Linked DNA regions of Rattus norvegicus. The protein of the gene in region 4 interacts with the protein of the main gene of each other region in a pairwise test. Links are inferred from orthologs where the notes say so. Each region holds a gene or a part of one and is shown on either strand. Other genes may lie near its edges.

Region 1 (3,500 bases), on a different chromosome or scaffold from region 4:
CCGGGCATGTATCAGGCTCCATACCATACCCAGCACCAGAAAGACCACAACAGCTCCAAGTGACTACAGATACATATCCCATGGTTAGGAAAACTTACGACTCTATCTGACTGCAACACTCACTTGTGGAAGCCACAGGAATGTTGGGGAAGTTGGTGGTACTGGTGGCATTAGACTCTGATGGGGCTAACAGAGCTGGGGCGCTGTACGTCTCCGTGGATGCGCGATTACTTGGTGGATGTTGGATGGTTTGAATCGAATGTCCTTCCGTGGGTAAGGATGGCTGTCCTTCAAAGTCATGAACATATTCATCCTTCACTAACATACTTGGTGGAGCTATGCAAAAAGAAAAGACACATTTTTATATTCTTCCATTTTCACACACACAAAAAACTACATACCAAGTAATATGACAGTATCTAAAACTTAACCATAATATCAATTCACATTCAGAATTGCTTTTCATATTGCAGAAAAGCATTTTCTCAGCTATAGCTACATTAGAGATTTTATCAATTTGACTCACTGAAATTTGAAGACATATTCTTCAGTTTTCTGACAAACTTAGAAGTACATAATCATCTAAATAAGTAAAAACCAATGCCTAGCAAAATGAGTTCAGTCCCTCCATCAGACATAGGATGTGTCTATGCCTTCACCTGGTGAAGAAGAATTCTGCCTCCCTGAGGATTTCCCACGTTTAACCTCATCCTCAAGCCATTGGAGACAGTGCTGCTGTCACACCTGAGAAAAGGCACCTAAAACCACACACGCCAGTGCTCTTTCACGATCACCAACATAAAGATACCGAGTCAGTCTACAAGCACACAGGCAGGCACTCAGTCTGACGCTGTCCATCGATGACTCCTCCATCTCTCACAGGCTTGACTCACTTGAAGCGATAGTGCAATCCACATGGAAAGACATCAGCAAGCAGAAGCACCATCTTAACACGGTGACCACTGAATTAGCTGAACTTAAGAGCCAACTTCCAGACAAGGGGCTCTGCATCCAAAGTACCAAAACTAAGACAGGAAGGATAATCAACTTGTCTCTGACATGGCCCAAGTGTTCGTAAATATGAGCAGAGGAACGTCACCACAGTACTGGCAACACCCACACTAAAGCCGCATGGATCACTGACTACTGACTCCTGCTTATTCTACTCCAGGTTGAAGAGGAAGCCTGTCAGGTGACAGGAGACCATGTTCCCCAATATGATCCTAATCCCCCGCTCTTTCAGCATTCTTACATGCCACTTGGCTGAGGATCTCAAAGCTTTCGGTAAGTGCCATTACAGAAAGCCGGAGTTCCAACAACCTTCAAGAGGTGCCAGGTGAGCCAATCAAAGGTCAGTAAAAGGTCCTCAGCATAGGCCACCATCCTGTCCACTCCAGGAGAACTCATCATTTCTCTAACAGTCCTGCTTCAGTCAAGGATATTAAATTCAAGGAGGAAATAGCCCAAGCCCATCATGCAAGTCTGAGGGCCATACCTCCTGCCTGTCCTGCAAGTCTGAGGGCTGTAGCCAAAGGAACCACAACATTAGGGAAATGGTAGGTCTTATCTGTGGAACTACAGAGAGTTTTATTGGGTTAAAAATGTAGGAGAGAGTTCAGTAAGCTTTGGAACTTTTCTCAGCTGTGTTAGGTTGTCGGCCATATTATTAAAGTCATCTTATCCTTTAATTGATTTGACAAACATAAAAAAGATACACTTTAGGCACATGAGAAAAGACTGCTCACAGGTACTCCATGGGTTGGAAAAACCATGCTAAGGAAAGAACTTACATCAAGACCAAAAGCCTGATCATCATCTATCATGGAGTCTGACAAGATGGCTGCTCAAAATGGACAGATGCTAGCACAAGTCGTGAGGGATATGGGGCTTACAGACTATGAGCCCAGAGCTATGATCAGATGTTGAAGTGTGCCTTCCAATATGTGACCACAGTTCTAGATGATGCTAAAATGTATTCAAGCCATGCCAAGAAGCTACGGTTTATGCAGATGTGCACTGGCAATACAGTGTCTGCTGACCAATCTTTGATGTCTCCTCCTCTGAAAGACTTAATAGATTTTTCGAGACAAAGAAATGATGACTGTGATAAGCTGTAATCCACCCATAATACTTGTAACAATATATGCTTGTTCTCAAATCCACTGCACCAAAATTAAGTAGTATACTGCATGTGTTCAAGCTGTATTTTAGAATATGGTACATTAATTATACTTAATTATACTATGGTTTTCAATTAAAATGCTGAGTCTATTTTAGTAGAATTAGTAATGGTTTTCCATTGACTTTTAGGTATAGAAATAAATTGCCAAAAATTTCAAAAGCGCAAAGAAAGAAGGGAAGGAGAGGAGGAAGGAAGAAGGGAAAGAGGGAGGGAGGGAGGGAGGGAGGGAGGGAGGGAGGGAGGGAGGGAGGGAGGGAGGAAGAAGGGAAAGAGGGAGGGAGGGAGGAGTATGTTTGGAAGTCCTGCCAGCCTAGAGAAAAAAAAAAACAAGTCACAAAACACTATGGTGATACACAGATTTAGGGGCTCAGAAGATGATTTGCTACCAAGGCTAGACACCTGAGAACGGTTCCAGAAACTCACAGTAAGAGAAATGATGCCAAGTAATCACATGCATGCACCCATGTGTGTGTGTGCACACACAGGAATGCATGCATCCACATGCACATACATACTTGCTTTAAAAAAAGAACCCACCAAGGCCCAGAAGTGTTCACAGTTTGTGATTTTTATATATAAAAAAGGGAATAATGCATGTATTTTCTGCATGAAAAATAAAGACGCCCTGGAAGCAAACACTAGGACCTAACCAAGTGACCACACAAGCAGAGATGGGAGCACTGGGAGCCAGCTTTCACCAGACACCTTTCTATATTGTTTCATTTATGGACCAATTATGCTGCTTATTAAAAAAACCAATTAAAAAATACAGTCTATACTTTTTAAGTCCATGAAAAAAGACTCAGTTCTCTACAGGACTAGAACTGATAAAAAGGGTTTACTAGAGTGGCTCACAGAATGCAGTCCAGCTAGTCCAGCAATGGCTGTCTCCTGAAGGAAAGTCCAAGAATCCAGCATGGGTTCAGTGCACGAGACTCCGTGTCTCAGCAGTCTTCAGTATACATGAATCCTGGAGGAGGCGGCTCTGGCAGCAGTGAAGGACTGCGTCCCCTCACCAGCAAGATCTATGAACTTGCCAGTGAGTGTGCAAGAAGGCAGAGACAAACATTCTTTGTGCCTTTGTATAGGCTGCCCTGAGGTGCAGTCAGATTTAAAGTGGGTCTTCCAACTTCAAGCAGTCTGCATTTAAAATAGGTCTTCCTACCTCAAATGATCCAATTAGGTAAAAACCCCTCACAGGTATGCCTAGTGTAGGCTTGGGATGTTAGTAAATCCAGATATAATCAAGTTGACCATCAAGAATAGCTAAGACAAGTCGTCTACTCCTTGTCAAGCCAACACACCATCACATCTTATT
Region 2 (4,300 bases), on a different chromosome or scaffold from region 4:
TGGGGGGACAGGGTATGCTTTCAACTTTTATCACATTTACTGCTCCCACAGGAAACAGATAAACCAACATTAGAATAAGTTACTTTAGGAAAGCTTTACTTTTACCCAGTAAAGACATTTTTACAGCACAGCAAAACATAAGCTTCCACGGAATTTAAAATTCTAGTGTCACTATTCCCCACTCCCCCAAAAAAACCCTATAGATAATCACCTAAATAATTTTTCTATTTATAAAGTATTATTTCTAATGTCCTGAAATAAAATGTGGAAGCTGCCAGGAAGATGGAAATCTAAACTGGGACTCTCAGGAAGACTCAAGAGCTTCATAATTTAGTATGTCCACACATTCATTACTCGGTTACAATGTAAAAAAAAAAAAAACCAGGGCTGGAGAGATGGCTCAGTGGTTAAGAGCACTGACTGCACTTCCAGAGGTCCTGAGTTCAAATCCCAGCAACCACATGGTGGCTCACAACCATCTGTAATGGGATCTGGTGCCTTCTTCTGGTGTGTCTGAAGACAACTACAGTGTACTCACACACACTAAATAAATCTTTAAAAAGAAAAGAAAAAGAAAAAACCCTATTCGTACCAAATATTAACAAGGAGACAGAAGGAAGGAGCACACACCCATATGATGTAGACTGAACTGCAAAATAGCACATTTTTCATGTTTCTTATAAAACTAAACAGAACTGGCAGAGCATGGTGGTGAATGCCTTTAATACCAACACTCAGATGAGTAAGGCAGATGAATTTGAAGCCAGTCTGGTCTACACAGTGTGAGTTCCAGGATAGCCAAACTTCCAGAGTGAAAGCCTGTCTTTTAAATAAAAACAAAAGCAACTAAACAATAACAGAGCATATGGCCTCAAAAAGGACTCCTGAGGCTCTTCACAAGAACTGCAGCTGAAAACAGATGACCCTGGGCAGGTGACGGCACATTCATGGTGTGGAAAACCACTCAGCAGTTAAGTACTGAGCTGAGGACTTGGTTCAGTGGTAGAATGAAGCCTGTGCCTAGTATGCAAATCTCTGTCGTGGGAGGGATACAGACCTCACTGGGATGAATCTCAAAAACTATGCTGAGTGGAGGAAGAAAAAAAGCCTTATCCAGAAGACCACATGAGAGACAACTAGGTCTCTGTGAACTCAATCTTGTAGGAAAAACAATCCTTACAGGGGTGACAAAAAGAGGAACGGAAGGAAGCCTGTAGTTCACTCTAACAGGCTCCACTATGGCCTGCTTGGCTGACACAGGTGTAGATGGAGCTGGGGAAACCAGCCAAGGCAACCATGTCCGTATCACTGCGCCTCTCATCATGTGGAATACCATTTTTCAAAGACGTTGTTCTCAAGCCACTAATATTTATGTGGCTTACCTTCCTTATAAGGGTAATACTGATATTTGCAGTATTTTTAATAGTAAGTGTATTTTAGAAGTAAGAGATGCCCAATACAGAAAACGCAGGAAAATGTCAATTGTGGGTGACGGACACACCTGCTGGAAAACATAAAGACGGTAAACTTTTTTTTATAGCAGCGTTAACGCACAAGGAATGATGCTTCAGTCAACCAGAGTTTCTCTCAATGTGCCACACATCCTCTTGCTTCAGAAAAGAAACCGACTTCACCTTTGGAACTAGATAAGCCTTGAGAGAACTTACAGGTACATTCCAGTGGCTGTTCCCTGCTTCCTCGCATAAAACTGTTTACAATGTTTGATACTGTCAACAATTCAAATGCTCTAGACCGTGTTGAAAACTACATTTGATAGGTTCTACCAAGGCTCTTAATTAGCTGCAAGATTTGTTTTCCTGAATAGACTTTAAGGCAATTATCGGCCTTAACATCAACCATGTTTCCTTGCGGTCCGTTGCAACCGCTAAGACCCAGTCAGGTGTCTTCTCATCTCCCTAAAAAAATCAAACAAAAACCTATCCAATGAGTGGCAGCTAAGCGATGACGGAAGTATTGTTCACAGAAGCAGCAAGTCGCCTATGAATCAAAAAGTCATTTACTTTTTTCCTTTCAGGCGTGAGCTAGTACAGTGTGACTGAAAACAAGTTCCGCGTCATAATTTTTATAATAAAAGGCTGAAAGGTGGGGGAGAGTTCAGCATTCAAAACCGAGAACTAGCCCTCCACGTGCTTCTCGCCCCCAAACCTCTCCAATTCCCAGGCAGGTAAAACAATGACCCCCACCCAGCCTGGTCAAAGGCCGAGCGACGCCCGCGCCCTGCCTCCCAGCAGCTCCCGGCTCCTTTGTGAGGACTGGGGTCCCGGGGCCCGGAGCTCGGCGGCTGCGGCGCAGCCCAGCCCAGGCCGCGCGGCTCACTCGTCCCGGCCCCGCACAGCTCACGCAGCGGAACCCGGCGGGACCTGACCGGAGCTCCCCGGGGCCGCCGCCCGGCCAGGCCGCCCCTTCGCCGCCCTCCCCGCCCCGCCGGCGACGCAGCGACCGCCTGGCCCGCGCCCTCACCTGCTGGACCGAGCTGTTCTCGGGCACAGCGAACTCTTCCTTCTCTTTAGGCGTCTTCACCGTGACCTTCATGATCTTGGGCTCTGCGGGGCCGCTGTCGGCCGCACTGTCCTGAGCGCCCGGTGGGCCGCCGCTCTCTGCGCTCTCGGCCATGGCGGTGACTCAGGCGAGCGCGACACTGGGGGCTGCGGCCGGGTCCGCGGGGCGCGACAGGTTGCGGGGCCACCGACGGTGCGTAGACGCGGGCTGCGGGTGCAGGCCCCGGTGGGCGATCGGCTGCCGTGTGGACGCGGGGACTCTCCGCGTCGCCGCCGCTTCCTCCTCCCGCACCTCCCCCACGCTCGTCGCCGGGCGCCGCGCGGGGCACGCTGGGTAACGCGCTGGCCGCGGCGCCGACTCCTGGCGGCCGGCTGCGCGAGGCACGCCGGGTAGCGCGTTGGCGAAGGAGCCGACTCATGGCCTGGCGGCGCTCGTTCCTTTCTTAGCCGGCGGACGAAGCGCGGGCTCCTCCAGGTCGAAGGAGCGCTGGGCACAGCGGGGGAACTTAACCCACTTCGCGTCTCCCGTTCTTCTTTGAAAGGCATTTAAACAGGGGTTTCATGGAAGACGCCATGATGGTGCACTAAGATGACGTCACGGGCAGCGAAATTGCTAGAAACGTCTGGCCCTTTGCTCTCGGTCCCGGTATCCTCCCGACCTGGTCCCCGTGGGCGTTGGCTTATAAAATAGCGGCGAGTTACTTTATTTTAATAAGCGTAGTGTTTGCCCGGGTGGAAGGAGTTACGATTGCCTTGTCTTGTGCTCAGGGCTTGGAAGCTAAGCCAATGGTGAAAGGTCTTCAAAGGAACACGAAACAGACGCCAGTGAGCCACCAGCGCAACCGCAGGCGCTCACTGTTTCAATGAGGCCAGAGCTTCCCTCCATGGAGTCAAACAGGTTTGGTCAGAAGACAGGACAACCCATATTGTCTGTCTTCCAAGCTGCGTGGGGGCAGAAACAGAATGCCTAGGACTGTCCACCCAACGGGTAGGAGTTAAGCCCAGCTGATGTGTGCCTTTTGTATTCTGTCCCATTACGTTACTGTGCAGCTCGCATCAGGGATAATGGTTGAAAACTTATTTTCAGCATAATGTAGGCACAAATAAGTCATTCACAAGTGACTCCCACATCCTTTATTCGCAAAGATAGCATGTAATACAGTCCGGCACTTTGTTAATCAACATTGCACAAACGTGAACTCTGACAGTGTACCGTGACCCTAATATGCAAAGACATTCCATAGTTCTGCTCTTAGGCCATCAAACCCTGTTCTATGATTAACTACTGTTGCATAAACACTTCTTAGCAGAGCCCTTTGAAATCTGGGTCAGAGTTTCGAAGGTAAATGGCGACCCAAGTGTCACTTGATATCACTTACATTTCTGTCAGCGTTGTTCGATCACAGGAAGAAGTTACAAGCTTTATGTCTAGGTGTGAGAAAATTGTTAGTTCTTGGGGTAGAAAGTTCCACCACTGAGCAAGCAAGCATTTTGGAATTTTCTCATGTTTATATATATAAAATCTCCTTCCAACTTCATTAGTTCCTCTGTTGACTGGTTTTCCTTCCTGCTGTATTCTCCCTGTGTACTTCCCTAGGCTGCCTTCTATGATGACATCCCCCCCTTCCGCCCCCCTCACACCTTTCCCTGCCTAACTTTCTGTGATCTCACATCATATCCCCCACCTCCTGGAAGTCTTCATTCTGTTGCCCTTTAGAAACCCGATCTCTTTACTCTAATACAGCGGCTGTAGATAACCTTTACTGATGTTTGTATGGAAT
Region 3 (4,246 bases), on a different chromosome or scaffold from region 4:
CTGTGTCATGTATTTTTCTCACTTACTGAACTAAGGAAGCTTTCACAAACCAGATCGGTTGGTCTGTTCGTCTGTCTGTCTGTCTGTCTGTAAACAAAAATCTCTCCCAACCTTTAAAATACCATGGTAAGGCAACGTGGACATTCCAAACCCAAATGGACGGTATTTTTTAATGTTTCCATTGTTTGTCTAGTAAATAAACAAAAACCGGTATGTTAAAATCTCTCTGAGGAGCCTGTTCCCCCATTAGGAGTAGAAATCTACAAGATCACATTTTTCACATGCGTGGCCCACTTCCAAGCCACAGGAGTATGGAAAACATCAGTGCTGGGATCCAGAGTTTGCTGTGGTTTTAAAAGCAATCATTTTCTTTCTTTTTTTTTTTCCTGTAGTCTCTTGCATTTCAGTAATAAATATTAAACCCCGCCTTCCTATTTTGGTTCATCTTTGAGAAAAGTATTACAGTCAGCTCAGAGGGAAACGTGTGTGTGTGTGTGTGTGTGTGTGTGTGTGTGTGTGTGTGTGTGCATGTATTTTGGTCGTTTGAAAAAGGAGGCCACACCCACAGGCTTCAGTTGTCTACCAAGGCTGGGGGCCCTCCGTTTAACAAGGAGGGGGGAGAAAAAACCTCATGCCCAACAATCAATCATGTTTAATATATCTGTAGGGTGGAATTCAGTTTACAGTGGCCTTCAAAGAGTCCTTTTATTAATTTTTTGTGAAACTTAAAAAAGTTTTCAAATCTGCAGGAGGCCAGACAGAGCACTCCCGCTACACACTGTAATCTGACACTAGGCTGAAGATTGACCAAGTTTAAGCAACCCAAGAGGAACAGTTTCCTGCTTTCGGTTAGAACAGTCTACAGTGACCTGTAGTAACACTGCTGAGGCGGGGTTACTCGCGGGCATTAGATGAAGCAGTCAGGAAGTCGGTGTCAGGTTTTCTTTTTGTTTGTACGAAGTCAGCCCTGTTCTCTCACTAATATTATACAGATTGGAGGGGAGCGGGGTGTTGGAGAAAAAAATCCACCCAGGCCAACTGTGCTTCGAAAAACGAATTTAAGTTTTTCCAGAACTTTCTCTGCACCAAGTCAAATTTGCCAGGGGACATCTCTGGGAGGGCAGGATAGCTGCCTCTAAATGGAATCAGAGGTGTACTTGACATTGGTTTGTTTCCGCCTCGCTTTACCTTGTCTGCTCCTGTAAGATGAGATGGGGCTCCACAAAGAACTTGACCCTCAGTTTAAGCCGGTAAGGTGCCAGCCCATCCATCTGCTGGGAGATCCGGTTTCTCAGATTCAGCCATAAGCTTTCACCTTTGCTACCCGTGAACTGCAGCCCAAAATAATCAACTTCTATGATTCCCAATCGCCTGCACACCTAAAAAACAGAACCAAAGGTATGGGGAGATGAGCAATGCAAACCCAATGCAAACATCTGAGTGAAGGGCTGGCAACCACTTTTCTAAAGTTCTACCTTGTTGCAATGCCAGTGGTAGACCGGAAAAACAAGGTTTTAAGGTATCAGCAAAGCCAAAACGCAGCTCTCCAATGGAGGCTTCGCATTGCTCGATTATTTCTAGGGTCTGACCAATTGCACAGAGAAAGGAGTCCCCCCAAACAGATTTCCCAAATGGCTGAGGAAGAGGAACCCACAGGGTATTTTATTTCTTATTCCAATCGCTGCAATTCCCTCCACCAGCACCATCTGCACAGCTGATTCGGCAGCTTATTATCTGGACAGTTTTAACCATCTGGATTCCAAAAACACAAACGCATTGAGGAAGCATGCCACAAGTGTCAGCTAAGCTTTACACACAGCTCTCCAAATAGCTCAGGTCTACAGGTCTTGAAGGCACAGTGTTTCCAGGGGTCAAATGGGTCTGCTGTACCCATTATGCACACACTGTTAAGAGCCTTAGTCACTCTTAAGAAAACACACGTGTAAAGACCCCAAGCAGGAGACTGCCGGCAGAACCGTTCCCCCGCAAATTACTCGGGCATACTCTGGATCCCCAGCAAACCTGGAGTGTGTCAGGTGAACGAACAGTCCTTCTAAGAAGCAGCTTGAGACAAGGGCTCACCTGGTCAGCTAGGGAACCCCGGGGCCAGCGACCATTTGCAGCCACCTCATCCCGGGACGCGGGTGGCGCTGCCGGGCTTTGCAAGGACTCCACGGGAGGCATCACATACACACACCTGCGGCAGGTGTGCCCTGCCACCTTCTTTAGAGAAAAGTGCCAGGCTAGGAGACAGGGTGGAGGTTTCCGGCAGTGTCCTGGTCTCCAGGCCCAGGTTCCCCCACCGTAAGCGTCCTCTATGCCCCCCCCCCCACCCCAAGCTGGCAGGGAGGAGGAGGCTGAAGCCTGGCATCCCGGGAGCGCTCTACGGGCCGCCGCTGCAACGTCGCCCGGCTCCGGAGGAGCATCCCTGAGCCCCGAGGCTTCCCGGTAATGAGCAGGGATCCCCTTTCCTATCACTGCCATCACCTGGTTGAGACAGTCCTCGCCGTTGGCTTTTGCCTCCACCTCCACCTCCATCAGCACCGCGTCCGGCCTCGTCACATAGCACAGCATGGCTGGGGCCGCCGCCACCGCCGCCACGGCCGCTTCTTCTCCGGTGTGCGCCGGGGCTGTCGCCTCACTGCAATTGCTCCAAGTCGGCTCCGGGCACCGCGAGGAAGGTGCAGCCGTGCGGTCACCCGCCCTGCACCCCACGCAGCCGCCACTCGCGTCCCCGCCACCCCCCACGACAGCCAGTTCCCGGGAGCTACACGGCCGCGCCGCTCCGACAGCCCCACTGCCAGCGCCGCTACAGGCACTCGTCTTTTATAGAGGCCCCGCCCCTCCGGCGCCGGTCTTCACCAATCACTGCGTGCTTGCCCCTCCTCCCCAGCTCCGGCAGCCAATAATCAGTCTCAATAGCTGAAGCCCCGCCTCCCGGCACCGCCTGTGGAGCTGCGGGAGGTGGGAGCCAGTTCTCTCCCCAACCCCGGGTACCGTCGCGGCCTCTGCCACTGGGCGACGCTCCTCCCAGCCCGCTGTCGCCCGCAGCTCCAGGGGACGCCTTTCTGTCCCGGTTTGAGAGTACTGTGATCAAACGCTCCTGCGATGCCACGGTTCTCAGGACTCCTGCGTGGGGTTACTCTAATGACCCGGTGGTTTGAGCAAGTCAGAGCCTAAAGTTGATGCTTTTCCGCTAGGATTTGCCTCTGAGTTCTCAAAAGAACACTCTTGAGTAGAAAAGTTTTTGCAATTGACCCATAATAAGCCGGTAACTTGATCCAAGCACCATTCTTTACATTAACACGTGCCAAGGGTTTCTAGGCGTGGGTTCTGCTAAATAGTTATGTTACCCATCCTATCTCTCATCGAATTCATTTGCAATATACCAGATACACTCCCTGTCCTTTCTTTCAGACAACCAGATGTTACCCCATCTTAAAGGTAACAGGCTTATCTTGGGACCTAGCAGGAAGAGTATCGCAATACAAGAGATTAGTAGTTAAAGGTGTGAAATCTTCATATTTACTACTTGTTTCTCTTGGCCTATACTGTCTTTCTTCTTCTTCTTCTTCTTCTTCTTCTTCTTCTTCTTCTTCTTCTTCTTCTTCTTCTTCTTCTTCTTCTTCTTCTTCTTCTTCTTCTTCTTCTTCTTCCTCCTCCTCCTCCTCCTCCTCCTCCTCCTCCTCCTCCTCCTCCTCCTCCTCCTCCTCCTCCTCCTCCCTCCCTCCCTCCCTCCCTTTCCCTCTCCCTCTCTCCGTACCTTTCTCCCTACCTCCCTCCCCACTTCTCTCTCTCTCTTCCTTTTGGTTTGTAAAATAAACCAGGAAATGTGGGTTTCAGCCTTGGATCCTTGGACAACTTCATCTCTCTGAAGCTCAATGTCCTCACAGTAGAATGGAGACTAGCTATCTTTTAGACCTTCCCCGAGCATTGCTGTGAAGCAATCTAGCCATCCCTGCCTGCCAATGACCCTATCTCTGTCCTGTTTGTTTGCCGTGTATCTAAGACGAAGTCTTGCTGTATCGCTCAAGCTAGTGGCGCACCTCATACGTGGGCTCAGTGATATGTATTTCTGATGAGGGGAAAAGTATTAAAAAAGGACTGGGATCTTAACAGAGCCCTCGCGGAGAGGGCAAGCTCATGGCGCTGTGTTTCGTGAACACGTTACAGTTCCTGCACTGCAGAACCAGTGCATGCTTGCACTCATTCACCGGTCTACGGCTCATTCCTTCCAGGCAGCAGG
Region 4 (4,266 bases):
TTTTAAAGACAAGGGAAGGCAACAGAGAGAGAGTCATGGGGTCACACAGAGACTAAGTGACATTTTGGATTCAAAGTCAGGACTTCGGTTCCAGTTTGAGCGTGTGAGTGTGTGTGTGTGTGTGTGTGTGTGTGTGTGTGTGTCTATGTGCACACGTAGCTAGGGTTGGCCAGTAATGGCCGGCCAGGACTCTGCCCAGCACTGAGATTACGAGCATGTGCCACTGTGTCTGCTTTCTTTATTTTTAACATGGGTTCTCAGGATCAAGTTCTGGTCCTCATGCTTGCTTTGCCAGTTGAGTTGTCCCCTGCCTTCCCAGCAGGATTACCTCTTAAAAGTTCCCTTTTCTGACACCCCCCCACCCACGCTTTTCAAAAATGAAAATAAAACAAACCCTCTCAGAGAGCCAGACCTCAGCTTAACACCAGATGCCTGGTGAGTCTGCCCTGCGCACCAACATGTCTCAACTTTCTCCTGGTCAGCCGAACACTCACGGTTAGTTAAATATTAAAAACAACAAACAGAGATTCCTTTCTGTGGCCTTCCTGACTCCAGCGCTATTGCCTCTTCGGCGTTCCCGCGTCTCTGGCTGGTATGAAATCTACTACGAGGAGGCTACAGGAACTCAAGAAAGTGAAAGGACCCCAGCAAGTGGCAGGTCAGAGGCCCTGCCTGTGGCTTCTATTTTCCAAGTGCTAGGAACTGTTTAGGGACGGAGCAAGGGAAATAAACAGTTCTAATGTGGTATGAGGATGCTCGTTTAGTCACGGAGTACTGCACCGATACCCACAGAAACCCACCAACACATCATCATCGCTAACCAGAAGAATAGCACAAAACTCGGCGTAAATAAAGCTGTCGGTCCCCCAAAGTCTAAATACAGGCAAGGATTACAACCAGCATATTTTCACAGACAATGCAGCTTCTGGGATTTGAGCATAAGTAACAGCGAAGCCACTGCCTCTTCCCCTGAGTACAGGGTTAGTGGGAGCATCCAGAAGACTGAGGGAGGAAGGGCGAGCAGCGTATCCAAAGGTAAGTTGCACTGGACTCTTCTGCAGGTCAGCAACATTTACAAGGGACAGCAGCCAGTGCGCACACACAGCACAGGCATAGGACTCTACATGCCCAGCCATCTCCTGAACAGGCACCTGTATGGGGGGAAGGATGCTCATGGTGGGGAGAAGAGCACCCACTTTCCCTTTTCACACTTCCTGGAGCTGCTGAGAGGGAGCGAGGGTAGGGCTAGTTGCTGCTGTCCAGTGTTGCAGTCTGAAGGAGGCACAGGGTGTAAGGTAGGAGAAAGGCCCTTTAACCAAGAGATGTGGCCGAAATCCACAGATGATTGCTGGAAACCGTCACTGCGCCGTGTGCCTCACATGCTCAGAGTAGCTATGTAAGCACGTGGGTATGAGTATCCTCTGGCAACAGCAGATCCCTGGGTTGGTGGGGAGGAGACTTCTTACAGGGAGACACGGACTTCAAAAGGGTGCAGATTTGCTCAGAAATTCTCTACCCTGGTGTCCAGTGTTTCAGTCAGGACTGGGAGAAGCCAGCAGATCAGTGGGGATTCCTTGTGGAAGGAACGGGCAGGGAGCTTAGAGCTGGAAGATGGGTGCAAGAGTGCAGAAGGAAGAGGAGGAGGAGGAGGTTGGGCGCATCAAACACTGGAGCATATGCAGTACAGAGGGTTGAGGACCCAGGTGTGGCGGGCTGAGGAGGCTCAGGTGCAGGTGACCTTGGCATCTTTCAGTCTCACAGCCTGTTTCCATTCAAAGCCTAGCCAGGCTTCCTGTGCCAACAGCTCCCTAGGAGAAGATCCTGAGAAAACCCTGAGGTGACCAACAAGTCATTTCCCCATTAACTCTAATAAGTAGGGTCAAATACTTCGTTATCAATATCAGTGCCCAATTTTAAAAACTTACAACTAAAGGAAGAAGAGAACTTGCGTAAGACAACCGAATGACCTTGTGGAGAACCATTAAATCCCAACCTGCAAACAAGCTTGCCTGCATGCACAGGGTAGAAGGCTCGTACCCGTCTGAGGACAACGTAACTGTACACATATAACCACCTCTGGCCAGTGGGCAGCCATTAGAGGATGCCAGGCAGTGACAGCACTGTCTCCAACATTACCTGCCTAAAGTTCGGGCTGGCCACAAAAGGCAATGGCCTCCTCTCCCAGGCTCACAGCCCTTCACCTCGCGCACCTTCCCCCGCCCTCACTCACTAGCGCAGCGCAGCGCCTGCCGCAGCACCTCTCGTCCGCACAGGTCACACCAGCCCGGGCCACCCCGGAGCGCCAATTCCGCGAAACGGTGTCCCTCTCCTCTCTCGGCTAAGACGCGGGGATCCTGCGGTTGCTCGAAGATGCTCCTCACGTCGCGGGGTCGGTGCGACCCAGGTCGCCGCCGCAGTCTCTGCTGCAGACCGGGCCGGACAGGGCGAGCGTGTCGGCAGTCCCGGGGCGTGGGCTCCGGGTCCCCCCGGGCATTCCTCCTGCTACCGCGACCCTCTGACGCCCCGGACGCGGAGATCAGGGCCGTGGGGATACAGCGACGCGGCCGGGCGGGCGGTGGCGGCTCGGTGCCACCCAGGCTCTGCAGATACCGCGGCGGCTCGGGGTCTAGCAGCAGCGGGTAGGGACGCTGCCCAATGGCCGGGGACGCCATGGCCAAGGCCCGCAGGCGGCAGCAGCTCCAGAGCCTGGCCAACAGAAGGGGCGGCTCCGGCCGAGCGCGCTTTTAAAGGGCCCGCAGCCCGCGGGCGGGGCGGGGCGGGGCGGAGCCCACGGAGAGGCCGGAAGGGCAACACGCGTGACTGCGGGCCCGAGCCGCATGGGTTTAGAGGCGACTCCGGGACTAGGGGGTTGGTGAAGGTCTGAGCATCCGCGAGGCTCGGTGGGCGCCAGCTCTTCTGCCTCTGTCTCCAGCCCTGCCCCGTCCCCTCTGGTTAGCTCCCAGGACGCCCTAACACCGGCGGGGCGGGGAGCAGGTGGGAAGGGAGGGCTTGGAACCCTGGTGGGGCCCCGGGAGCGGGAGCGAGCCCGCTGCTGTCAGCAAGGCGCCCCGCGGATTCTCCGGGCCGCTCTGGGAAACTGGCTACATCAGCTCTCCCTTCTCACCCCTGCTGCAGAGGCTGCCCCTCCTCGAAGACTGGGGTTAGAGTGACTGGTGACCTTTGGTGATCCGGTGATCTTGAGGGACCTCTGTGCCCCATGGATGGACAGGAACTCTCCTCCCGAATTGCCCCCAACCCCCTTAGTTGCTGGAGTAACCACTGCGGAAATAAATACCAATCCCCTAAACACCTCTTTTATTCCCGGTATGCAAGGTTCACCTGAGTAGGGGTGCGGGGTGGAGAAGTCCGCATCCTGCCAGCACCAAGGGGTGCGCCATAGGTTCCTGTCTGGCTTAAGGTTTATGTATGTGGCCACCATCTTGAAAATCCTAATTCTTGACCCGGCCTATTCTTTTTGCACTGGGTCTTGAAAATTATGTAGTGGTAATGACTAGCGGGCCCGTTCTCAGTCCTGTCCCACGGGAAAGAGAGCAGGTGGGACTGTGGGTCTTCGAACCTGTCCCCGATCGACCGTAGGCTAGCAAGGGTGCTTGGCCCTCTACGCTCTGGTTTGGTAGCTGCAGGCGCCATTGCTCTTTCCAGTTCTGCGGTTCTGACTGAGGCCTCGCTCACACTTTCCCCCTTAAATAACAGCTTTGGTTGATTTAGTGGCAGTCACCAGCAAGCAACTTTGGGACTAGAGAGTCACTGCACCACATTTAAAAATTCCATATTTGGGGTTTCAACAAACCACTGGTAGAAATATTGGGGGTGGGGGCATGTCTACAGTGAACATATACACGCTTTTTCCTCATTGTTTATTAAATAGCACTGGATAGCGATGATTCAGATATACTCGCACAGTACCGGGTGTTTAATATAGACGGGGTTAAAATGCATAGGTTCTCGCTGAGCACTAAGCTACTTTATAAAAGAGATGAGAATCCTCAGGGTACTGGGTACGGGGAGCAATGGTGTTTGTATAGAGTGTGTGGGGATTCTGAAACCAGACCTGGAATTGTCTATAAATTCGCCTATACTTTAATCTCCAGGGTTCTTTCCAGGCCAATGATGGGTCTCCCCCTAGTGTCCGGCTGGGGAATCCTCACTTTCGCTTTTCCCCTGGAAGGTATATTTAGGCAGTAGCTGAAAGTCCAGTGACCAGGGAGTCCCCTCCCTTCCTTGCTCCTCAGCCTCTCCCGCTGG
Region 5 (4,014 bases), on a different chromosome or scaffold from region 4:
AAACGTCAAGCTAATGACTGCAGAGAGCATGTCCTGCACTGAGACAGTTGGGGCACAGACCATCCGAACCTCTCAAGAAGACATCTGTATTTTTCTGAACACGAGCTGTCATAAAGTGACCTCGCAGATGACTCATTTTCAATCGACCATCCCATGTCAGAACGCTCAGAGGCTCGATGCATTTACGTACATTTGCTCCTCTAGCAGAATGTTCCAGATTACTGCTATAAAAGATAACCGGAACATCTTAATAACAGAGTGGTCAGTCCAGTCGCTTCTGCCTGTAATCTCAGCACTCGGGAGGCTGAGGCAGGCAGCTGGAGGCTGCAGGACTGTAGAGCGTTTGAGGACACCTGTGTGAGACCCTGTCTCAAAATAAACAAAAAGGGTAACTGAATTAACTGTGCCCCTCCCTCGTGTGACTGTTAAGATTCTAACTCAGAGAACCTCTGAGTATGAGGTTGTACCTGGAGATAGGCCATTTTGAAATCAGAAGAGATGAGGGCACAAAGAGATACGAACGAAGAGCACATGAAGAGTGGGGGAAAGGTGCCCGTTTGTAAACCAAAGACATCTGATTTCCAACTTCCAGCCTCCAGAATGGCAACTAAATAAAAAATTAAATTAATTTCCGTTGCTTAGGCCATCCAGGTGTGGTGCTTGTTACAGTAATCTGAACCAGTTAATTCCGGTGAGAATAAAATACAGAACAGAACAGCACCAAATCGACCCTGCAAAACTCTTCTCTTGCACTCTATTACAGTTCTTAAAATCCAAACGCTGTAAGAATGAGGAAAGTTGCTGGGCTGTGGTGGTCCAGCCAGGAGGCAGAGGCAGACAGATCTCTGTGAGTTCAAGGCCAGCCTGGTTTACAGAGTGAGTTCCAGGACAGCCAGAACATTTACACAGAGAAACCCTGTCTCAGAAAAAAAAAAAGAAAAAGAAAAAGAAAAAGAAAGACAACAAGTAATGAGCAAAGTCAAAACAAAACAAAAAAATTCACCCCACCCACTATCACCAAACACAAAGGGAAAAAACCTTTTAATTAAATGAAGGTTTTGGGGGAAAGGAACCAAAGACAATGCACTGGTCTAGCGGTGACTGCACACATAGAGTAACAAGCTGCTAAGATGTGTATACACAAAGACCCAATGGAACAGGTAACTTCCAGAGAGGCTTCAGAGTAGGGAAGCAAGAACAAGGGTGTTAAGATTAGATCACCAGACATTAACGTTCCAACTGCGCCTCTGACTATGGGGCAGCTAACAAATGCCCTGCCTCCCTGTGCCCTGGCTTCATCATCTGTACAGTCAGGAGACAAGGATATCCTCCTCCTATGATCGTCGTGAAGGCCGGTTGCGTCAGTAAGGTGTACCATTTCAAAGTACCACTTCTACAAGCTCAGAAGTGGTCAAACACCAGCAATTTCGTATGGTTGAAGAGGAGAGATGGAGAGCAATTAAAACAGTGCCTGCCGACCTGTAAGCACTCTCCGGCTGTAATTAATAATTATTGCTTTTAGAGCCTCGCACACCACAGTAAGTCAAACCTGAGCCCATCTTAAAAGCCGTTTGTTTGATTCCATGTACCCCACCCCCACCCCCACCAAGGGTGCTGCCCCAGGCTTTCAATCTGCTCCCTTCACCTCTCGGGTGCGGGGCACTCCCTTACTCTGAACACTTCCTATTTTAGTGCTCATTCTGCTGCAGGAAGTCAAACGTCTTCTCTGTGAAACCCAAGTTTTTGGCTGTATCTGAGAGAAGCATGACTCCCTCAGGCTCTACGCTCTTTCCTCCAGGTGAGGGGCAGCGGTCCAACGCACCAACAGCCCGTTTAGGAGTTGAGACTTCCTAAAGTCAGTCACCTTCATCTTAACACAAAACAATTCTAGATACTTCCAGAATCTGGACTTGAGAGTATCGAAACAGAATTGGAAAAGGACAAAGTCTGACTGAACCTACTGTGTCTAAACTGTTTATTGGACCTCAGCTTACACAACCCCGGTTCCCCACCCCACCCCACCCCCTTATCGACGTCCCAACTTTGGGTGTTGGAAGACTAGGGAGGATTTGAAGAAAATTAGGCAGACACTCAGGAGGACATCAGTAATAAAAGCCATTAATTACCATCACCACTACTACATGAGGTTGACACCCTCAAAACCCTTGGAAACTCACTCCCCCATAACCCTCTCTCCATTACTAGAACCACGAAGCATTGGTACTTCCCCAGTAAGGCAGTTAAAAGCAATGACTTTTTAGACAGGACACAAAACCCCACTCCTCCTCTTACTGGCTATGAGACTTCCAATCAATTTTTCTAACGACTTCTGCCTCAGGAGCAAAGCATCAGACCTTTTACCACCGCACGGTCTGTGGTACTTAGGACACTCTCAATAAGTCCTCGCTCTCACCCGGCCTCAGCATTCGCCCCTACATCCACGAGATCCTTCTTGGGGCGCCTTTCCCCGGCCTCTGCTGGTGTCTCCCTAACTTGTCCGCACGTTGCCCAGAGAGTGCTCTCTCTAACCACAACCACTTCTATCCCGGCCAGCGGATGCTCTCTCACTCAGCAGGTGCTCCTGCAGCCGGGTCCCCAGCCTCGCGGGTCCCTCTCCGCCCGGCAGGAGCTTGCACGCCGGGGTCTACCCTGAGCAAGTTCGCGCCTTCCCTTCCCACCCAACTCTCCTCCTCTCAGCCTACGGCCCCTCACCTGCGCGGTGGGTTCCTCAGTTGCACGGTCTCCATGGCGCTGCCAGCAGCCGCCCAGACTGCCTCAATGCTCCATCCTCTGGGAGCCCGCCCCGCAAACCCTCCCACACTTCCGCTTTCCGCCCCTACCGGAAGCGAGAGGAGGCCGGGCTGATCGGCGTGAGTCACGTGGTACAGTGGCGGGCGGATACAGAAGTCTGAGACCAAAGAATTTCCTCTCGGGCGGCCTCTAGTGCTCAAGTGTTAGCGTCACCCTCTCCTTGACCTGCCTTTGGACTGAATACTCTCAAGCCTAACTGAGGTTTCTCCAATTTCTCAGGCGGTGAGGCTGTTAGCAAAGCATGGGCTTGATAAGAATTGAGTTCTTGTTAGAGCCAAGGGGAAATGCCCCAAGTACTCTGTAAGCTAGAGCGTAGTAAAGAAACCACAGAAATATCTGCTCCACGACTGGTGAGGTTTTATTGTAGATGAGAGAGAACAAACAGCATCTGGAAGACTCCTGAGCAGAGAGGAAGAAACAGGCTGGCCAAAGCCAGGGATTTATCTTCTGGGCAGAGAAAATAGCGAAGAGAGAATAGCAGGTCGGGACCTTGCTATACCATAACTGCTGCGGAGGGGAGTGAACTAGTTATACTCTAGAACCGCCTGAGAGTATGGTAGAGGAGGTAAGGAAGGCTAGGATGCTCATGTTACTAGGGACCCAATGAGCCTGCAGGTTAGCTTGGGCTTTGATATGTAATCACAGCTATGTCTCAATAGACAGCCATGAGGAAGTCGAGGAAGATAATGGAATGGCACCTATTGGGAGACAGAAACCAACAGTTTCTAGAAGAATACTCGATCTATCCACCAGCAATCCTTTTGTTTACCCTCTCAATATTCAGCACATGCCTGCCCTTTTTTTGGGAAGGAAATGGGGGTGGGGTGGTGGTTTCCCTTTGGACCTGGCACACCCCAAAAACGGGCAGACCCACTTTAGTCCAAAAATGACCTTCAAGACTCAGCTCCAAGCTGAACTATAGGATTGTTGGCAGATAAAAATAAAACTCACAGATTCCTGTAGCTCCTTCCATACAGCCACACAGTTCTGTTTTGTTGTTTTTAGGGGACAGGGGGTATATTTTTAGTATGGGGTTTGTAGGAATTTGTTTGAGGCAGCATCTGTATATATACCTGACTGGCCTGGAACATGTATGTAGACCAGATTGACCTCGAATTCAGAAACCAACCTGCCTCTACCTCCTAAGTGCTGAGATTAAAGGCATACTCCACCAGAGCCAGCTTCAGTGGAAGATCTTGACTC
Region 6 (3,500 bases), on a different chromosome or scaffold from region 4:
CGTTTCCCTCTACCTTTATGTGGGTTCTAGAGATTGATGTCAAGTCACTAGAGCTGCAAGGCAAATGTTTTAATCCACTAGCCATCTTCCCACCCTGTTGTTGCCCCTGCTCGAGCAGAGCATAGACTCGAGCTTACTGTGTACCTGAGGTTGACTTCAACTGCAGTGGGGGTGATAGGTACAGTGTAGAAGGCTGATTGAGCACTTGAAGGTTGGTGTGCTGTGGTGCTGCAGCTTACAGTGCAGACCTTTTACATAGTAGGCACTGGGCTGTGTGCCCAGTGTTCAGTTCATGGCACCCATCTCAACAGGCAGGCTCCATGATTACAGTAGCACCAGATCAGCAAAGGATCTGGGTTTAATTCCCAGCACCCACGTGACAGCTCACAACTGTCTGTAACTATTTCCAGGCAACACATAATACAAACAAAACACCCATACACATAAAATAATTTTTTAAAAAAGTCATTTGTCAAAATCCAGTGCCTACCCATGGTAAAACTCTAAGCAAGCCAGGAGAACTTGCTCAACTTCATAAAGAAAACAAACTTAAACACTTAATATCACTGTGGAGATTAAGCTAGGGTTTGAAAGATTGTCGTATCACTGATGGGAAAGCTTCTGAACTCTTGTCAAGTGGCACCGCTTTGGAAGCTTCTTGCAAGCATCTACCAAGGACACCCCTCTTCTGTGGCCACACAGTTCTGCTGCTCGAGAAGTGAGTGCATATTTCCAACAGAACCATGGAGGCTGGAACAGTGGTTCAGCAGTCTTGAGCAATAGCCATTCTTACAGTAGCTCACAAGTAGCTTTAATTGTGGGGGCAGAGGGCAACCAGGGAACTGTGAGCACTGGACAGACACATGGCACACAGAGAAACACGTAAGCAAACGCATACAATAATAAATGTTTGAAGTGTTTAGAGTTAGAGACTGAATCTCGAAATGTAGTTCAGGCTGGCCTCAAACTGGTGATCCTCCTGCCTCGGTTTCCTAGGGCTGTCATCATGACTGTGCACCATCACAGCAGCTCTGTCTCCATTCATTTATTTATTTTTGTTCTTTGGCGGTTTTGAAAGAGGGTTTCCCTGAGTCCCGGCTGTCCTGGAGCTCACTCTGTAAACCAGACTGGCCTCAAACTCACAGAGATCCTCCTGCCTCAGCCTCCCGAGTGAAAGCAGCTTTGTTTATAATAAAAAAGAAAAGTGAAAAGTCCATATGTCCATCAACAGGAGGGTAGACTAACTGTAGTATAGCCATACAGTGGGATATTAGCCACTAACCTTTTAAAGGGATAAAATAACTTTTTACTTGTAGTAACAAAAAAGGAAAAAAAAACCATTGTTCTAATGTTTGAGTAAAATAAGCTAGGCATGGGGCTGGAGAGATGGCTCAGCAGTTTAGAGCACTGACTGCTCTTCCAGAGGTCCTGAGTTCGATTCCCAGCAACCACATGGTGGCTTACAACCATCTGTAATGGGATCTGATGAAAGCTACAGTGTAGTCATATATATATACATATATATACACACATATATATACACATATACATATATATACACATATATACATATATATAAATATATAAATATATGTTTATATATAATGTAATTATATATAAAATAAATCTTTAAATCTTTAAAAAGTAAGCTAGGCACAAACATACGTACACACTCATATATACTACATGTGTGTGTTTCTATGAACTCAAGGGTAGGTAGTAATCAGTGATGGCATTGGAGTGCAGGAGAGACTGAGAGACTGACTAGCAGCAGTGGTTGAAAGTCCTTTCCAAAACACCTGATTTGGGCAGTGTTTGCTCCCCTCATGTGCTAAAGTAGGCCCTGACCTCATGAAAGCCAACTATTAAAATTTTGCAAGTTGGCAGGCATAGTGGTGCATGTCTTTGATCACGGTACTCAGGAGACAGACGCAGGAGTACCTCTGTGTTAAAGACCAGTCTGTTCTACAAAGCAAGTTCCAGAACAGCCAAGGTTGTTATACAGAGAAACTCTGTCTCGAGAAAAGCAAAAGACCCAACAACAACAAAAAAGAATTTTGCAAATTGTCAATCATATGTGGATGGCTTCAGATTGGCCATGGTAGGACTTTGTGCGTCATGAAAATCTATAAACGGTTCTTCAAATTAAGGAAGTTTTTTTCCCTAAGATTTGTTTTTATTTTATGTCTATGGATGTTTTGCCTGCATGTATATCTGTACAGTACAGTGTCCTCGGAGGCCAGAGGATGTCAAAACCCTCTGGAACTGTAGTTACAGATGGTTGTAAGCTACCACGTAGGTGCTGGGAATCGAACCTGGGCCTCCAGCTAGTGCTCTTAGCTACTGAGCCATCTCTCCAGACCCTAGAAGGTTGGTTGGCATACATCTGCCAGCATGCCACTTCTTCCTGCTACTCACCCCTTGACTTCTGATGGTCAAGCAAAGGAATTTGCATGGAGATAAAACAGGGAGGTTCCAAGGAGCTCTCTCTTCCAGCCCAGTAGGTACCAGGGAGGTGCTAACGAGCTCTCTCCTCAAGCCCAGTAGACTGTGACAAACCAGCATCTTCACTGCCTTTTTGCCTGGGCTAAGCATTGCTTCCTGTGTTCCTGAGATCAGCTGTTGCCCAATAGTTGAGTTTTCCATTCTAACAAGGGTGACTGCTTCGTGTCTGTGTGTAAAACAGTGAAAGAGCACATCTGAGCCTCCCATAGGCTCCTGCAAACAAAGGGGCTTTGATTTTAAGTTCAAAGTCTTACTCTCTTTGTTTCTGCCTCTTTAGGAGCATTCTGGAAGAGTTTTCCGACTCCAGTTTGATGAATTCCAGATTGTCAGTAGTTCACATGATGACACAATTCTCATCTGGGACTTCCTAAATGATCCAGCCACTCATGCTGAACCGCCCCGCTCCCCTTCTCGGACATACACCTACATCTCCAGATAAATAACGCGACACTGGCCTCATAATTGCCCAGGTATGAGAAGAAGCGTACAGGCAGCACTGTGTTGGCTGTGGGTGCTGTCACTCTCGGAGGGGTCTCATTCTCCGACTTTCCCCCAACCCTGTACACAGGAAAGCAGAGCTGACAGCCCAGTGAGCACCACTTTCACCAAGTAGCCAGCTGCAGTTCTAGAAGATTCTTCTTATATAGCAGTACTAATTGTAATCGTTCCTTCAGTACAATTTTTATGAAAGTAAGAGGACATCTGGGCCAGTTTGAAAACTAGTGAGCCCTAGCCTGTCATTTATAGCTCCTAGATCAAGACCTACAGGGAAGACCCTCTCCATCTAACTCTTCTAGCGTGACTGGAGACAGCTCTAGCTGTGTTATGCCACGGACGTCACACAGCTCTGCCTTGTTGGTCTCACTGGGAACAGAAAGTGGCTTTCTTGTCTCTACTCTCTGCTCGTCTACAGAAGAACACCTAGCTTGTTTGGTCAGCCCCAGCAGTTATCGTGAACTTGGTCCTTGCCACATCTCTAGCGCCTCTCAAAGGCA

Evidence for each region.
Region 1: the proteins of Rassf5 (region 4) and Smad4 interact in binary tests that used the Homo sapiens proteins (3 or more experiments, as listed by UniProt). The link is inferred for Rattus norvegicus from reciprocal best matches to the Homo sapiens genes RASSF5 and SMAD4.
Region 2: the proteins of Rassf5 (region 4) and Ubqln1 interact in a two-hybrid assay, tested with the Homo sapiens proteins (3 studies listed by BioGRID and IntAct). The link is inferred for Rattus norvegicus from reciprocal best matches to the Homo sapiens genes RASSF5 and UBQLN1.
Region 3: the proteins of Rassf5 (region 4) and Mylip interact in binary tests that used the Homo sapiens proteins (3 or more experiments, as listed by UniProt). The two-hybrid records come from large-scale screens. The link is inferred for Rattus norvegicus from reciprocal best matches to the Homo sapiens genes RASSF5 and MYLIP.
Region 5: the proteins of Rassf5 (region 4) and Stk4 interact in binary tests that used the Homo sapiens proteins (3 or more experiments, as listed by UniProt). The link is inferred for Rattus norvegicus from reciprocal best matches to the Homo sapiens genes RASSF5 and STK4.
Region 6: the proteins of Rassf5 (region 4) and Btrc interact in binary tests that used the Homo sapiens proteins (3 or more experiments, as listed by UniProt). The two-hybrid records come from large-scale screens. The link is inferred for Rattus norvegicus from reciprocal best matches to the Homo sapiens genes RASSF5 and BTRC.

The regions. Positions count from the first base shown.
Region 1 is NC_086036.1:69,539,685-69,543,184, forward strand, and holds part of Smad4 (mothers against decapentaplegic homolog 4), read right to left. Parts: intron 337-3,500; coding exon 124-336; intron 1-123. UniProt on the Homo sapiens protein: In muscle physiology, plays a central role in the balance between atrophy and hypertrophy. When recruited by MSTN, promotes atrophy response via phosphorylated SMAD2/4.
Region 2 is NC_086035.1:6,442,940-6,447,239, reverse strand, and holds the start of Ubqln1 (ubiquilin-1), read right to left. Parts: upstream 2,801-4,300; 5' UTR 2,635-2,800; coding exon 2,482-2,634; intron 1-2,481. UniProt on the Homo sapiens protein: Plays an important role in the regulation of different protein degradation mechanisms and pathways including ubiquitin-proteasome system (UPS), autophagy and endoplasmic reticulum-associated protein degradation (ERAD) pathway.
Region 3 is NC_086035.1:19,511,672-19,515,917, forward strand, and holds the start of Mylip (E3 ubiquitin-protein ligase MYLIP), read right to left. Parts: upstream 2,801-4,246; 5' UTR 2,575-2,800; coding exon 2,488-2,574; intron 1,380-2,487; coding exon 1,189-1,379; intron 1-1,188. UniProt on the Homo sapiens protein: E3 ubiquitin-protein ligase that mediates ubiquitination and subsequent proteasomal degradation of myosin regulatory light chain (MRLC), LDLR, VLDLR and LRP8. Activity depends on E2 enzymes of the UBE2D family.
Region 4 is NC_086031.1:45,252,478-45,256,743, forward strand, and holds the start of Rassf5 (ras association domain-containing protein 5), read right to left. Parts: upstream 2,801-4,266; 5' UTR 2,673-2,800; coding exon 2,231-2,672; intron 1-2,230. UniProt on the Homo sapiens protein: Potential tumor suppressor. Seems to be involved in lymphocyte adhesion by linking RAP1A activation upon T-cell receptor or chemokine stimulation to integrin activation.
Region 5 is NC_086021.1:173,166,778-173,170,791, reverse strand, and holds the start of Stk4 (serine/threonine-protein kinase 4), read right to left. Parts: upstream 2,801-4,014; 5' UTR 2,748-2,800; coding exon 2,713-2,747; intron 1-2,712. UniProt on the Homo sapiens protein: Stress-activated, pro-apoptotic kinase which, following caspase-cleavage, enters the nucleus and induces chromatin condensation followed by internucleosomal DNA fragmentation.
Region 6 is NC_086019.1:254,319,864-254,323,363, forward strand, and holds part of Btrc (F-box/WD repeat-containing protein 1A), read left to right. Parts: intron 1-2,782; coding exon 2,783-2,944; 3' UTR 2,945-2,975; intron 2,976-3,500. UniProt on the Homo sapiens protein: Substrate recognition component of a SCF (SKP1-CUL1-F-box protein) E3 ubiquitin-protein ligase complex which mediates the ubiquitination and subsequent proteasomal degradation of target proteins. Recognizes and binds to phosphorylated target proteins.